Linked DNA regions of Rattus norvegicus. The protein of the gene in region 2 interacts with the protein of the main gene of each other region in a biochemical or structural test. Links are inferred from orthologs where the notes say so. Each region holds a gene or a part of one and is shown on either strand. Other genes may lie near its edges. The genes, in order: Hoxb1, Pbx1 and Pknox1.

The links.
Region 1: the proteins of Pbx1 (region 2) and Hoxb1 are reported together in a solved structure, tested with the Homo sapiens proteins (2 studies listed by BioGRID and IntAct, with this or other methods). The link is inferred for Rattus norvegicus from reciprocal best matches to the Homo sapiens genes PBX1 and HOXB1.
Region 3: the proteins of Pbx1 (region 2) and Pknox1 form a complex in vitro, tested with the Homo sapiens proteins (2 studies listed by BioGRID). The link is inferred for Rattus norvegicus from reciprocal best matches to the Homo sapiens genes PBX1 and PKNOX1.

Annotation. Positions count from the first base shown.
Region 1 is NC_086028.1:81,826,356-81,830,717, reverse strand, and holds Hoxb1 (homeo box B1), read right to left. Parts: upstream 2,804-4,362; 5' UTR 2,700-2,803; coding exon 2,135-2,699; intron 1,699-2,134; coding exon 1,370-1,698; 3' UTR 314-1,369; downstream 1-313. UniProt on the Homo sapiens protein: Sequence-specific transcription factor which is part of a developmental regulatory system that provides cells with specific positional identities on the anterior-posterior axis. Acts on the anterior body structures.
Region 2 is NC_086031.1:82,900,914-82,904,559, forward strand, and holds part of Pbx1 (pre-B-cell leukemia transcription factor 1), read right to left. Parts: intron 2,107-3,646; coding exon 1,862-2,106; intron 1-1,861. UniProt on the Homo sapiens protein: Transcription factor which binds the DNA sequence 5'-TGATTGAT-3' as part of a heterodimer with HOX proteins such as HOXA1, HOXA5, HOXB7 and HOXB8. Binds to the DNA sequence 5'-TGATTGAC-3' in complex with a nuclear factor which is not a class I HOX protein.
Region 3 is NC_086038.1:9,688,061-9,691,706, reverse strand, and holds part of Pknox1 (homeobox protein PKNOX1), read right to left. Parts: coding exon 3,609-3,646; intron 2,332-3,608; coding exon 2,161-2,331; intron 1-2,160. UniProt on the Homo sapiens protein: Activates transcription in the presence of PBX1A and HOXA1.

The DNA.
Region 1 (4,362 bases), on a different chromosome or scaffold from region 2:
CGAGATAGAGGGAAAGGAAGCAGGTAGAGTCCCCTCTGCCATTCCCCCATAATTCCCTTCACAGACATCAAACAGATATGTTTTCCCTTTCTTCCACCCCTTTCCTCAAGATCATCTCAGAACCATCTGGTTCCCCCATTTTCTATCATGTGTTTCTGAGTTCTCTGAAAAAGACCAGTGGATTACTAGGGATCTGGGGATCCTCTTCTACCTTGGCTGGAACCCGGCAATGCCTTTCCAACTCAGTCAATGGCCAAGTAGAGTTCATAGCTCTTCCTCCACCCCAAGACGGAGAAGCAAACGCAGAAAGAAAAGGGGGAGAGGACAGACTTTATTGCAATGAGGTAGTCACAGATACAAAGAGAACCTGGCTTGCTTGGAGCTTGGGTTTCCAGAAACTCAAGTGGCCTCTCTGCTGTCTCCAAGGTTCAGAGAAATGTCCGAAGCTGCTGGGAATTCTGTCGCCATTCCTGGACCTCCCCAGACAGCCCCAGGAGTAGGGTGGTTTTATGGAAAGGAGAATGGGGCGCGCGGGGGGGGGGGGCGCTTTTCCGGAGGTAATAAATAGGGAGAGGGGAGGGGTATTCGCCCCTTCGTGGTTGAGGCTTGCTGGAGGCAGTCCTTAGGATGATGCTCCGGAAATCTCTGTGGTGCCAAGTTCCAAAACACTTTGGTGATTTAGTGATGCCTGTGGGAAGGGGCGGATCTCCTGAGCCAGCCACTGAGGGCCACATTAGTGCAATAGGAATATGTCTGGAAAGGGCTTGTGGGATTACTTGGGACTAGAGGGGTTTGTTTTTTTTTTTTGTTTTTTTTTTTTTTTTTTTTTTGGCATGTCACAAGGCAGTCGGTGCTATTGTAAGGTCTGCGGTGTGTTGGCTGGATTAAGGATTACAGTTAAGGGTTGGTGGCGATGTGTTTACACACTAACACATCCTCCACTGGAAAATCCCAAGGGCTCTTTCTATCCCGGGCCTAGGAAGAGGAGTTGGGGTAAGAAGCTAAAGAAGAACTCTCCAAGCTCAAAGGCACTGAACTCGAATTGGACGGGAAAGGAGAAGCCAGAAGGTCGGGCTGACTCCTACTCTGATGTGTTGAGGCAATCTCCAGATCAAAGCCAAAAGACCTTCCTTCGACCTCTGATGGTTTGAGTGCTCCCCAGGTCCCAAGACCTGTAGGATCGCCCCAGCCATCAATCATCCCTCCACTTCTAGATCTGAAGGGGAAAAAAATTGATTTCCCCACTTCTGCCCAGTTTCCTAAACTTGTTCCTCGGCCTTGAGGAGGGTCACCAGGGCTGTGAAGGTTGGGAGAGTCTAGGAGAGGACTGGGTCCAGTGTGTGAAGCCGGGTTACTTAGGAAGTTCAATTTAAGAGGTGATGGAACTGGGCGAAGCTTCTGGGGAGGTGCACGCAGACTGGTCGGAGGCCTCTCCAGCCGCTTCCTTGGGGCAACCTGGAGGGCCTGCAGGCACCCTGCCCCCCTCTCGCTCGCGTTTCTTTTGCTTCATGCGCCGGTTCTGGAACCAGATCTTCACCTGCGTTTCATTGAGCTCCAGGGTAGCGGCGATCTCCACCCTCCGGGCGCGGCTCAGGTATTTGTTGAAATGGAATTCTTTCTCCAGCTCCGTCAGCTGGCGTGTGGTGAAGTTTGTACGGAGACCGCCGGGAGTGCCCAGTCCCAGCTCGGACACCTTTGCTAGGGGCGGGGCAGGGAGAAAAGCCACGTCAGTCCTCTCACCTCTTTCTCCCTCCCCTCCACTCCTCCCAGTCCACTCTGGGCCCTCATTCATCATTCTACCCAATGCAGTCCCTATGTGGCATCTCTCTCTCTCTCTCTCTCTCACACACACACACACACCCTCCATCATCTAGGAGATCTAGAACCATCATCTTCCCGCCCATACTCACCTTCAGACCAGAAACATGAAATACTGGCTCCAAAGTGGGCGCGCACACAAGACTACGGAGACCTCCTTAGGAAGGAAGTAGCCTCGAAATCTCTGCTGACCTGAGCCCAGAAAGTACTTACCTACCAATAAAAGCAGCTGAAAGAATGAATGAAGCCCGGGCTCAGGCCCCTCTGTGTATGTATGCCTGAGCCAAGGAGAGGAAGTCACTCCTCTGAGCCCTACCTGTCTTAGGTGGGTTTCTCTTGACCTTCATCCAGTCGAAGGTCCGGGCAGTGAGAGAGCTGGGTTCTGACGAGCAAGATGATTCCTTGTCCTCAGAGAGGAGATCGTAGGCTGATGCAAAGTTTGAGGTCTGCTCAGTTCCGTAAGGGGGTTGCGGTGGAGGATATGGCCCTGAGCCGACTCCACCCGCTCCATAGCTGTCGGGCAAACCCCCTAGCTGGGCTCCGTAGCTCGACGGATGAAAATAGCCTCCATCTCCTTCCGACTGACCCATAGAATAATACTGAGAAGGCCCATAGCTGGGGTTGCAGGCGGCTGGGGCGTACCCCGAGGGAGCGGAGCTGGGAAAGGACACCCCCAGGGATGAAGGCGGCTGCTGGACAGGATACCCCGAGTTTTGTTGGAGCGCTGAGCTGGGCAGCCCTCCACCATAGCGGCTCTCCCCTGCGTAGCTGTCAACCGCCGGAGCTGAGCTGGGGGGAAAAGAGGTTGGGGCGCTGTAGGCGCTGGGTCCCCGATTGCAAAGTGGGTACTCTAAAAAGGAATTCATTCTATTATAGTCCATTAGAGGCCGAAGGAGGGTCGGGCCGTTTGGGGGAGACACCCTCTTGCCCTACAACCTTTCGGCAGTATGTCACAGCGCTGAAGCTTGAGTCCATGGCCCGGGCCTGCTTGTCCCCGCTAGCGATCCCCTAGGAAGGGACTAGGCAGTGGGGGTGGGGGGGCACATGTGATCTCTCCCAGGCCAATGGGCTAAGCGGGCCAGAGTTTGGCAGCTCCAGCGCCCATCCATCACCCCCCAAGCATTAGCATGACAAAGACACTTCAATCACTCTGAGCCCATCCATCTGAGAGCGACATGGAAGCGTCAAAAACATCTTTCTTCAAAGACTTTTTGGAAAGAAGGGACCAGAGGGAGAGGTGGGGGGGGGGGGAGAAGTTGGAAGAATATTCAAGACTTTACTCCCCTCCCAACCCCCAAGGCCTTCAATAGGTTCCTGGATTATTAGATTTGGCCAAATTCAACCCAGCTGCCCCTCACTCTCTTCTCCCCTCAAAGAAGCCTACCCCCACCCCAAGGCTGTAAGGCTAGTGCTTGGAGAGCCAGACTCCCTACTTTGCCCAGAACCCCCATTCCATGTCTCTTTCTCCCAGTTTGTCTTGGGATGATGTGCTAGGACAGCCTGATGAGGTATGTTATCTTGGGACAAAAGGATGACTAGGAAGGGAGAAGGGCTGTAAAAACACCTCAGGGTGTGAGCCAGGGTCTCAAATCCAGAAGAATTCATTACAAATCAAGAGGAGGGAAAAGCAGCATTTCAAGGAACACGAGAGGGAAAAGGGAATGGGGAGGGAAGATGAGGGACGCCCTGTTCTCTCCATCTCTCTGCATAAATGCTCTCCCCTCATTCGCAAGCCACTTCTCTCCCTCAGCCTCCCTTTATATCCCCTCTGTCTCAATTCATCTCTCCGTTCGTCCATCTCGCTCCACATTTATATTCACTCCCTACCTATCCATCAACTCATCTCTCTAGATGTATTTATCCTTTCTCTAGCCATCCATAGCTGTAACTGGCTCACTCACTCAGACTTAAATAACTCCCTGTCTCTCTCCGGAGAGCAGCAATGAGCAGCAGAACCAGGTGATATTTACAGAGGGGTGAGAAGGAAGGGAATTTTAATCCTCTTCTCACAAGTGTTCAAAACTAGTAAAGACTCTGCATTTCTCAGGCTTCCTCCTCCCTAAACCCCTCCGTTATCTTTAGTCTCCCTAAAAGTTTTTTTTTTTAATTCCAGGACTCAAATACATAAATCCAATGCCAGTTAAGTCTTGAAGACGATCTGAATTTTCCATTTCCGAATTTTCTAGTGTTCTAGAATAGGTAAAGGAAGTTTAGTTTGCTCAGAGAATGGGAGAATCGGTGTAGAGCTTCTAAACTAAGGCTTAGAGGTGAAATTTACCTTCTTGCTCTTGGGATCAGGTTAGGGGAGGGGACACAGGAAGAGCCTTGGTCACTCTCTGAAATGCAGCAGGCAGTTTGGAGTTAGAAGAGAAGCTCTTGGGTAGGGCTCATTGATGTCTCCTCCTCCAGACTCTGAGGACAAGAATCCAACACCCACTCTCATTTGTAACTTGTCAGGGTGTCTGCCCGGCCACAGGCCTGGGGCCTGAGCTAGGGCAAGTCCAGGAGGGCAAGAGTTCAGGGAGGAATCTCAGTCAACAGTGA
Region 2 (3,646 bases):
GAGATTGCACTGGACCAGAGGTTTCGCGGTGAGTACGTTATTGAATGGGCTACTACTGCCTGAGCGGTGGAATTTTGCATGGCAACAGGAAAGAGAGAACGGAGTTTCAATGGAGAAATCAGTTCTGTGCTGTATACATCCCAAGCTAACAATGAAGCCATCCATCAAAACCCTCAAGCCTAACACGCATCGCAGTTGCGCGATTGGAGGAAGCTGCGTTTATTCTACGTTTCTTTCATGCCTTGATTAACTGGCATGAGTTACCTGAGGTGTCAGGTCTAGGCAGGTTGATGGGAAGAGGCCACGCTTCCTGGAGAAGGTGAAGTAAGAGTAGTATGGAGGGGATAAACTGAGAAGCCATCTGGAGATCTTTATAAGAAAAGTCTGCACGTGCATCTTCTAAAGTCCCACCGAGTTAGTGCAGAGTCCAGGTTCGGGATGACCCAGGTGGAGAAAAGCACCATTAGCAGGTAGACCAACTCATCCCAGACTCTCCTGGGACCTGAGAAAAGTCTCTGGGAGCCAAGATGTGTCAAGAACACGTGTTCTTTTTCAAGAACACATAGGGTAGTGTTCTCATAGTTCCAAACATGCTGACTTATTTTTTTCTCCCCTTCAGCTCCCACTGCACCTTGTCTGGTGGTTGAATTTTCACTGTGACTAACTTAAGGAGGCATAGCATCTCCTCCTGTGTAAGAGAGTGGATTTTGTGGGTTTCCACTCCAAAGGTGGACAGGGGTGCGCTCATGAACCTTTCTCCACTTTAAATTTTAAAATGCCCATTTCTGTTTTAAAATTTAAATTTTCTATTACGTTCACATTTGCTGGCTAACTAGGCAATCATAAGTAGACTGTTCTCTGCCCCCCTCTTCCTTTTTGGCCCACAAAAAAATGGTAAAAGAAAATCTAATTCAAGGAAAGACATTCATATAGAGCTGGAGTTCAGCATCAAATCCAACAGGGACAATGAATATATTTGTCGGTTAAAGAAACAGGAGATCTGGGTGTTAAAGGACACCTGACAGAGCACTGCGGTTCACAATGGCTGGAGTAATGGCACTGATATAGAAGTCCCAGTCTATGGGGGACAGGTGGGCTTTCCCTACCAGGGAGAGCTCTGGCATTATATGGTACCTCATTTCTTTATGCTACTTTGTGACTTAAAGCAATCCTAGTCTTTCCAAAGGACTTCTATGACCCTTTGTGAATCTACAGTTTTCTATCTTTGGGGTACGGCATGCACATATATGACACCATCAGAAAAATGCTAGGACTGGAATTGAAGGTGGTGTGGCTCTAGAATAGCTCTTGAGATGACTTATTATCTCTGTGGAGAACTGTATGTCACACCACATATCACACATAGAAAAGAAGGCACGTTTGGCTCAGCTGACCCCAGCATGGAAAGGTCAGGTCCAAATGTCCCTTCCCATGGAATTCTCTGAGCATTCAAAAGAGTAATGTTCTTCAACTTAACAGCAAGCATCGGCCGAAGGAAGCCAGCGATCCCTGTAATTGGGTTGCAATTCTGACAATGGTCTGTGTGCTCTAGGGAGAGCCAAGCATGTTCTATGTTTACAGATGTTCTAGAGTTCCCAGCACAGGAGACTCCTTACATTGGCCACTCATATTTCTTTCAGTCATCATTTGCAACATCATGGTTATAGTATCTTGTCCCATGTAAGGCCTAGGTTTTCAATAGTTGAGAACAGGCTCTTGAAGGGACTCAAGGTTCTAAGATAAGCCCTGACCTATGGGAAAGGCTGACCAAGACATGTTCATAGGCTGTGAGGCTGCGGTTTGTTCTGCCCTTCCTTGGCCAATGACCACCATGGTGCCCAGTCTATAGGGGTATGGTTACCTGTTCATACTTCTCCAGCTCTGTGTGGTAGATTTGTCTGATCTGTGAGAGTTTGGCTCTGTAATCGGAATGCTCCACTGAGTTGTCTGAACCTGCACCCCCAGAAGCTGCCGCTGCTGCCGCTGCCGCTGCCGAGCCTCCGCCCTTCTCAGGCCCCGCCACCCCTTCTGCTAGCAGCATGTTGTCCAGTCGCATGAGCTGGGGGTCTGTGGGCTCCTCTTCTTGGGCTCCCCGAATACTCAAAACTACGGAGAAAGACAAAGGGAAAAAGAAAGGATTAGCAGCGGCAACTCGGAAATCATTTACCAGACACAAACTATAAGAATCCAACTGTTTCCCTCAGTTAAGCCAGCTTCCAGATCAAGTGTCATATGGTATGTGGAGATCAGAGGACAGGAAGGACATCGACTGAGAAGATGGGAATGTGGAAGGAGATACCTGCTTTGCTCCAAAGAAACTACTTATATGAGATACCTAGGATAGGAGAACAGTGGGGTTGAGACCAGAAGAAGGGGCAAGGGAGAGTTAGTATGATACATGTGGGGGTTCTCTTGGGGAAGACGAAAGAAGTTTCTGGAAGTCAGACACTGTGGGTCACAGCTATAATCCCAGCACTTAGTGAACCCAGGAAGGCCAGGAGTTCAAGGTCATCATTGTGTATTTGTGTTCATGTGCATGTGTGAGTGTAGGTGTGTTTGCTCATGAGTGCCAGCCTGGGCCATATGAGGCTTTGTCTCTACCCACCTCCTAACAAGATGGATAGCGAAAACACAACCATGTGAATTTAGTTAATGCCGCTAACCTGCACATTACAAAACTGACAAAATTCCCGTTATATGCGTTTTACTACCATCAATGTAGGACTGCAAACATTAATTATAACAAAATGTGATTTTTTTTACTTTAATCTTCAAACAGCCAGGTTTCAAACAAACAAACAAACAAACAAAAAAAGAGCATCTCTTACTTTACATTTTTGTTTGTGGCTTTTACTCTGTTAACTTTCACTGTAATATTGAATTAACCTGTGCTGTCATTTCCGAAATAGCTTCAGCAAGGTAAATCCAGTCCATGGAATTAAATCTTGAGAGATTTTCCCTGGACTGGCTGAAAGAATAGAGAGTAGTGTAGAAAAATACAAAGACAAATCGACCCTGGCATAGGACATGCTGCTTTTGAAAACAGAGCTCCATTTATGGTGGGTGGTAAGCTTTCTGTCCTGTGCAAAGTGAGGGTGTGGTGTTTGTAAGAAGCTGTTTTCATGGATTTGCCCAACCCTGAGTTCAGGTAGAACAAAGTTTCAGATCAAAACCAGGCTATGTTTTAGGGAAGCACCACAACTTTGTGGGTGGGGGTGACTTGAACTGAAGGAGATGAAGTGAGTTTGCAGAATGGCTCACAGGAGAGTTGCTTCTGTGCCTCCTGAACACAGCCTGCCTTCTGATAAACAAACCACTCAACTAAATCCAGTTGTGTCATCAGTCGCCAAGTTTTTGTTGAAAGAGAACAAGAAGACCATTTTCAGTGTTGGGAAAACAAACAAACAAAAAACCAAAAGCAATAACAAAAAAAAAATGGAGAGAATTCTGAGAACAGAAGAGGAGGGAAGGGCAAGGATGGAGGAGAGGAGATCTAGGTCCTAGTAGATGCGCAAGAACTGTGAGAGTCAAGAGCTGTTTAGGGTACGAAGAGGACAGACCAGAGCTAGCTGTCTCCTAGGCAGCTCTCCCTCCTCCAGGGGCTGTGGTGGGGAAGGTAGGAATGAACTCAACATAATGATGTGAG
Region 3 (3,646 bases), on a different chromosome or scaffold from region 2:
TGTCAAAATAAAATCCATGGGGGCTGGAGAGATGGCTCAGCGGTTAAGAGCACTGACTGCTCTTCCAGAGGTCCTGAGTTCAAATCCCAACAACCACATGGTGGCTACAACCATCTGTAATGGGATCTGATGCCCTCTTCTGGTGTGTCTGAAGACAGCTGCAGTGTACTCATATGCATAAGTAAATAAACAAATCTTTCTTTAAAAAAATGAAATCCACTACTTTCTACAACCGACACCTGCTTACAGAAACACACAGGCTTATATGCTTTGTATGGTTTTCTTATGAATCTTCCTAGGGCACTTTAAAAACTAGCCCCACCCTAAAAAAAGAAAGAAGAAAGAAGAAAGAAGCCATATGGTGACGTGCAGCTTTAATTCCAGCACTTGGAAGGCAGAGGCAGGCACATCTCTATGAGTTTGAGGCCAGCCTGGTGTACAGAGATACAGAGTTCTTTTTTTTAAGATTTATTTATTATGTATAAGTACACTGTAGCTGTCTTCAGACACACCAGAAGAGGGCATCAGATCCCATTACAGATGGTTGTGAGCCACCATGTGGTTGCTGAGAATTGAACTCAGGACCTCTGGAAGAGCAGTCAGTGCTCTTAACCTCTGAGCTAAGATAAGTCCCTCCAGCCCAAGATACAGAGTTCTAAGGCAGCCTGGGCTACACAAAGAACCCATGCCTCAAAAAAACAAAAAGAAAACCAAACCAAAACTTAACTGCTTTTCTTCAGAAAACAAAAACCTAAAACTGCCATCCCGGGCTGCAGGGGCGGCTCAGGAGATAAGGGCACACAGGGCGGTTCCAGGAAGCAGGATTTGGTTCCCAGAACTACATGGCAGCTCCCTCACGGTGGTTCCAGGGAGCCTGACACCTTCCTCTGTCCTCCTCAGAATCCAGACAAGGTAGGTATTCATGTAGGCTACACCCACACATCTAAAAACAAGTGAATCTTTACAAACACAACCCATGTACAGTCACTCAGAGAAACACCCCTGTGCACTAAGTCGGAGTCTCAGCGTGTGTAGCTCTGCCTGCTCTAGGACTTATAGGAAGACCAGGCTAGCCTCAAACTCACCGAGATCTGCCCGCCTCTGTCTCCCTCGTGCTGGCGCTAGGGGTGCCACTACACCCAGCTCCTCGTGTGTACTTCCGAAAGCTCAGGGGTCACTGTGCTGAGCTACAAAGCACTGATGAAAAGGCCCCGGTGATGCAGCCGTGTGCCGTGTTTCTGGACTGAAGAGTCACAGAGTAAAGAAGTCAGCTCCCCTAACCGAGGCACAGGGTCAGTGCATTCTGTCAGTGCCCACGGGGCATTTGTTCTATAGGTCTACACAGCAGCACTGACCGTTTATATGGGAGAGCAAAGCCACCGGAAGAGAGCGAAAACAGTTCCAAGGAAAATGTAGAGGGAGGAGACCATCTCTCCGATGCCCGAGACTCGCCAAGAGCTGTAATAATCACGGCCGGCCTCATGGTACAGAACATCAAACACCCACCCGGCTTTTGACAAACAGGAAGGAAAAGCAGTCCAGCAGGAGAGCTCCTAGCAGCAGGCGTCAAAGCAGATAAACACTGGCAGACAATTAGAACGTTCAAAACTCAGAAATTTAAGGGAAATAAAAGTTTACAAAATGAGCAAAGACGTAAGCCGTCTTTTAGCAAAGACGTCACACAGACGGCAGATCAGCACGTGAAAATACCATTTGCTGTCAGGGATAAACAAACAAAGTTCATGACGAAACAGCACATACCACAGTGGTGCCTCATCCCTGACTAGGCTTCAGGGAGCTCTGAGAAGTTTGCCAGATACTGTATGAGTCTACTTCTGTGAGGAACCCAGCTAGTCAATTCAGAGATGAGAAAGAGAATGGCAGGGCCATGGAGAGCAGGAGGAGTTGTATCTAATGAGAGAGGACTTCCCCTGGGAAGACGGGAGAGTCCTGGAGTTACAGTGGTGGCGATGGTTACACAACAGTGAGGATGCACTTGGTACCCTGACTACATTCCCTGAAATGGCTACAGTGACGACAACAAGGTAAGGGTCTTACGTCATCACGGAAGCCAGCGATTGTGTAGGAGCAGGAGGTCGGGAGTTAACGCCAAGTGACCAATACCACAATGACCAAGAAGCACACTGGGCCCCAAAGTACCTGGGACTGCACTGGGGAGTACGGACTTCCAGGCTCCCCACTCAGCAGGGTCTCGCTGTTCATTTTTGTCTTCAGACAGGCAATGTACCGACTACAGAAGTCTTTACAGAGCTCGTTCACCTTCTCCAGTTCAAGAAGATGAATACGCAGGACCTGGATTGCTTTCACCATCTAGAGGTAGGGAAAATACAGACTTTGAAGTGGGAAACAGTGTGCCATCGTCTGTATGAGAAGCTGCCATCGTCATACACTGCTTACTTATTAGATGGAGACAGCGGCAGTGCTAGCGAGAGGAGAGGAGCAGCGTTGTGTCCTGGCCTCTGCCCTACTCGGGCTGCACCTGGGCCGCACGCAGAGCAGGGTGCCCCTTTCAGCATGGCTGTGCTGCAGCCTCGCCCTACTCCATCTCCACATCTTCATCTGTCCTGTAGGTGGCTCTCAAAGGCCAACCTCCAGCTCTGCCCTTTCTGGATCATGTGTCTGGTGTCAAGTCTGAGAACTCTGCATAGCTCTAGATCCCAACCTCTTGTGTTATTTCTCTCCTGTTTAATATGATGTCATCAAGCACCGAGGAGACTTGCTCCCAAGCAATGGGTCACAAATGCCAACAGTGCCCTGTCATTGGTACTCCTTGCTGGGAGCACAGGCCAGCCCCTCAGCCACAGGCTCATGTATGAAGTCATCTACATTCTTGATGCAGTGAGAGACCGGTCAGAAGCAAAAGCTATGGAGTGTGAACTGGGCTTAGATGGTGCTGCCAGTCAAAACACCGACTGAGCCAGGCCAGGGATGGGCCAGAACCAAAAGCTCTTCTGATTCTTGCTCAAATGACAGGCATTTCAGAGCACACGAGGCAGAGTCTGACACGGCCCACCTCGGAAGCCTCTCAGGTGGTAAAGATCAAGTAAGAAATGTAAAGCATCAGACCTAACACTGACACACTTTATCCACAGACAATAACGCTTCCAAAGACCCACTGAGTCCTGAGTCCCACAGGGAATTCACAAAACCCAGAGAAGGCCTTGCTGTGGGGTATCTGAGTCTGGCAGAGGCTCAGGCTCAAAGGCAGGCAGTGTAGGTGCCTTGAAGAAGGACGCTGTGTCCTCAAAGACCTCTCTCCACTGCGCTGGACAGGAAGAAGGCAGAGCAACTAGTGTCAGTGTTGGGAGGGAGCTGCTTTGCAGATGACGACTCAAGCCTGTTTCTAAGATTAGACCTGTACTCACGGCTCAAGTGGAGCAGACTCCCCCCGCCCCCTGTGGGAGCAGTCGGCCCCAAGGAATCTTCAGACACCCACCTCACGAGGAGGTGAGCCCCACCTCACGAGGAGGCACAATTAGTTAGATTGTTAAAGGGAAAATTAGCTAGAAACCAGGAGACCAGGAAGGTAAACTTCAAGAACAGATTTAAATCACAAAAAGTAGAAACAAAACACCAACTTTACTCACTAAGTTGTCTGTTTCCGGATCTTCACAGAAGAAGGGCT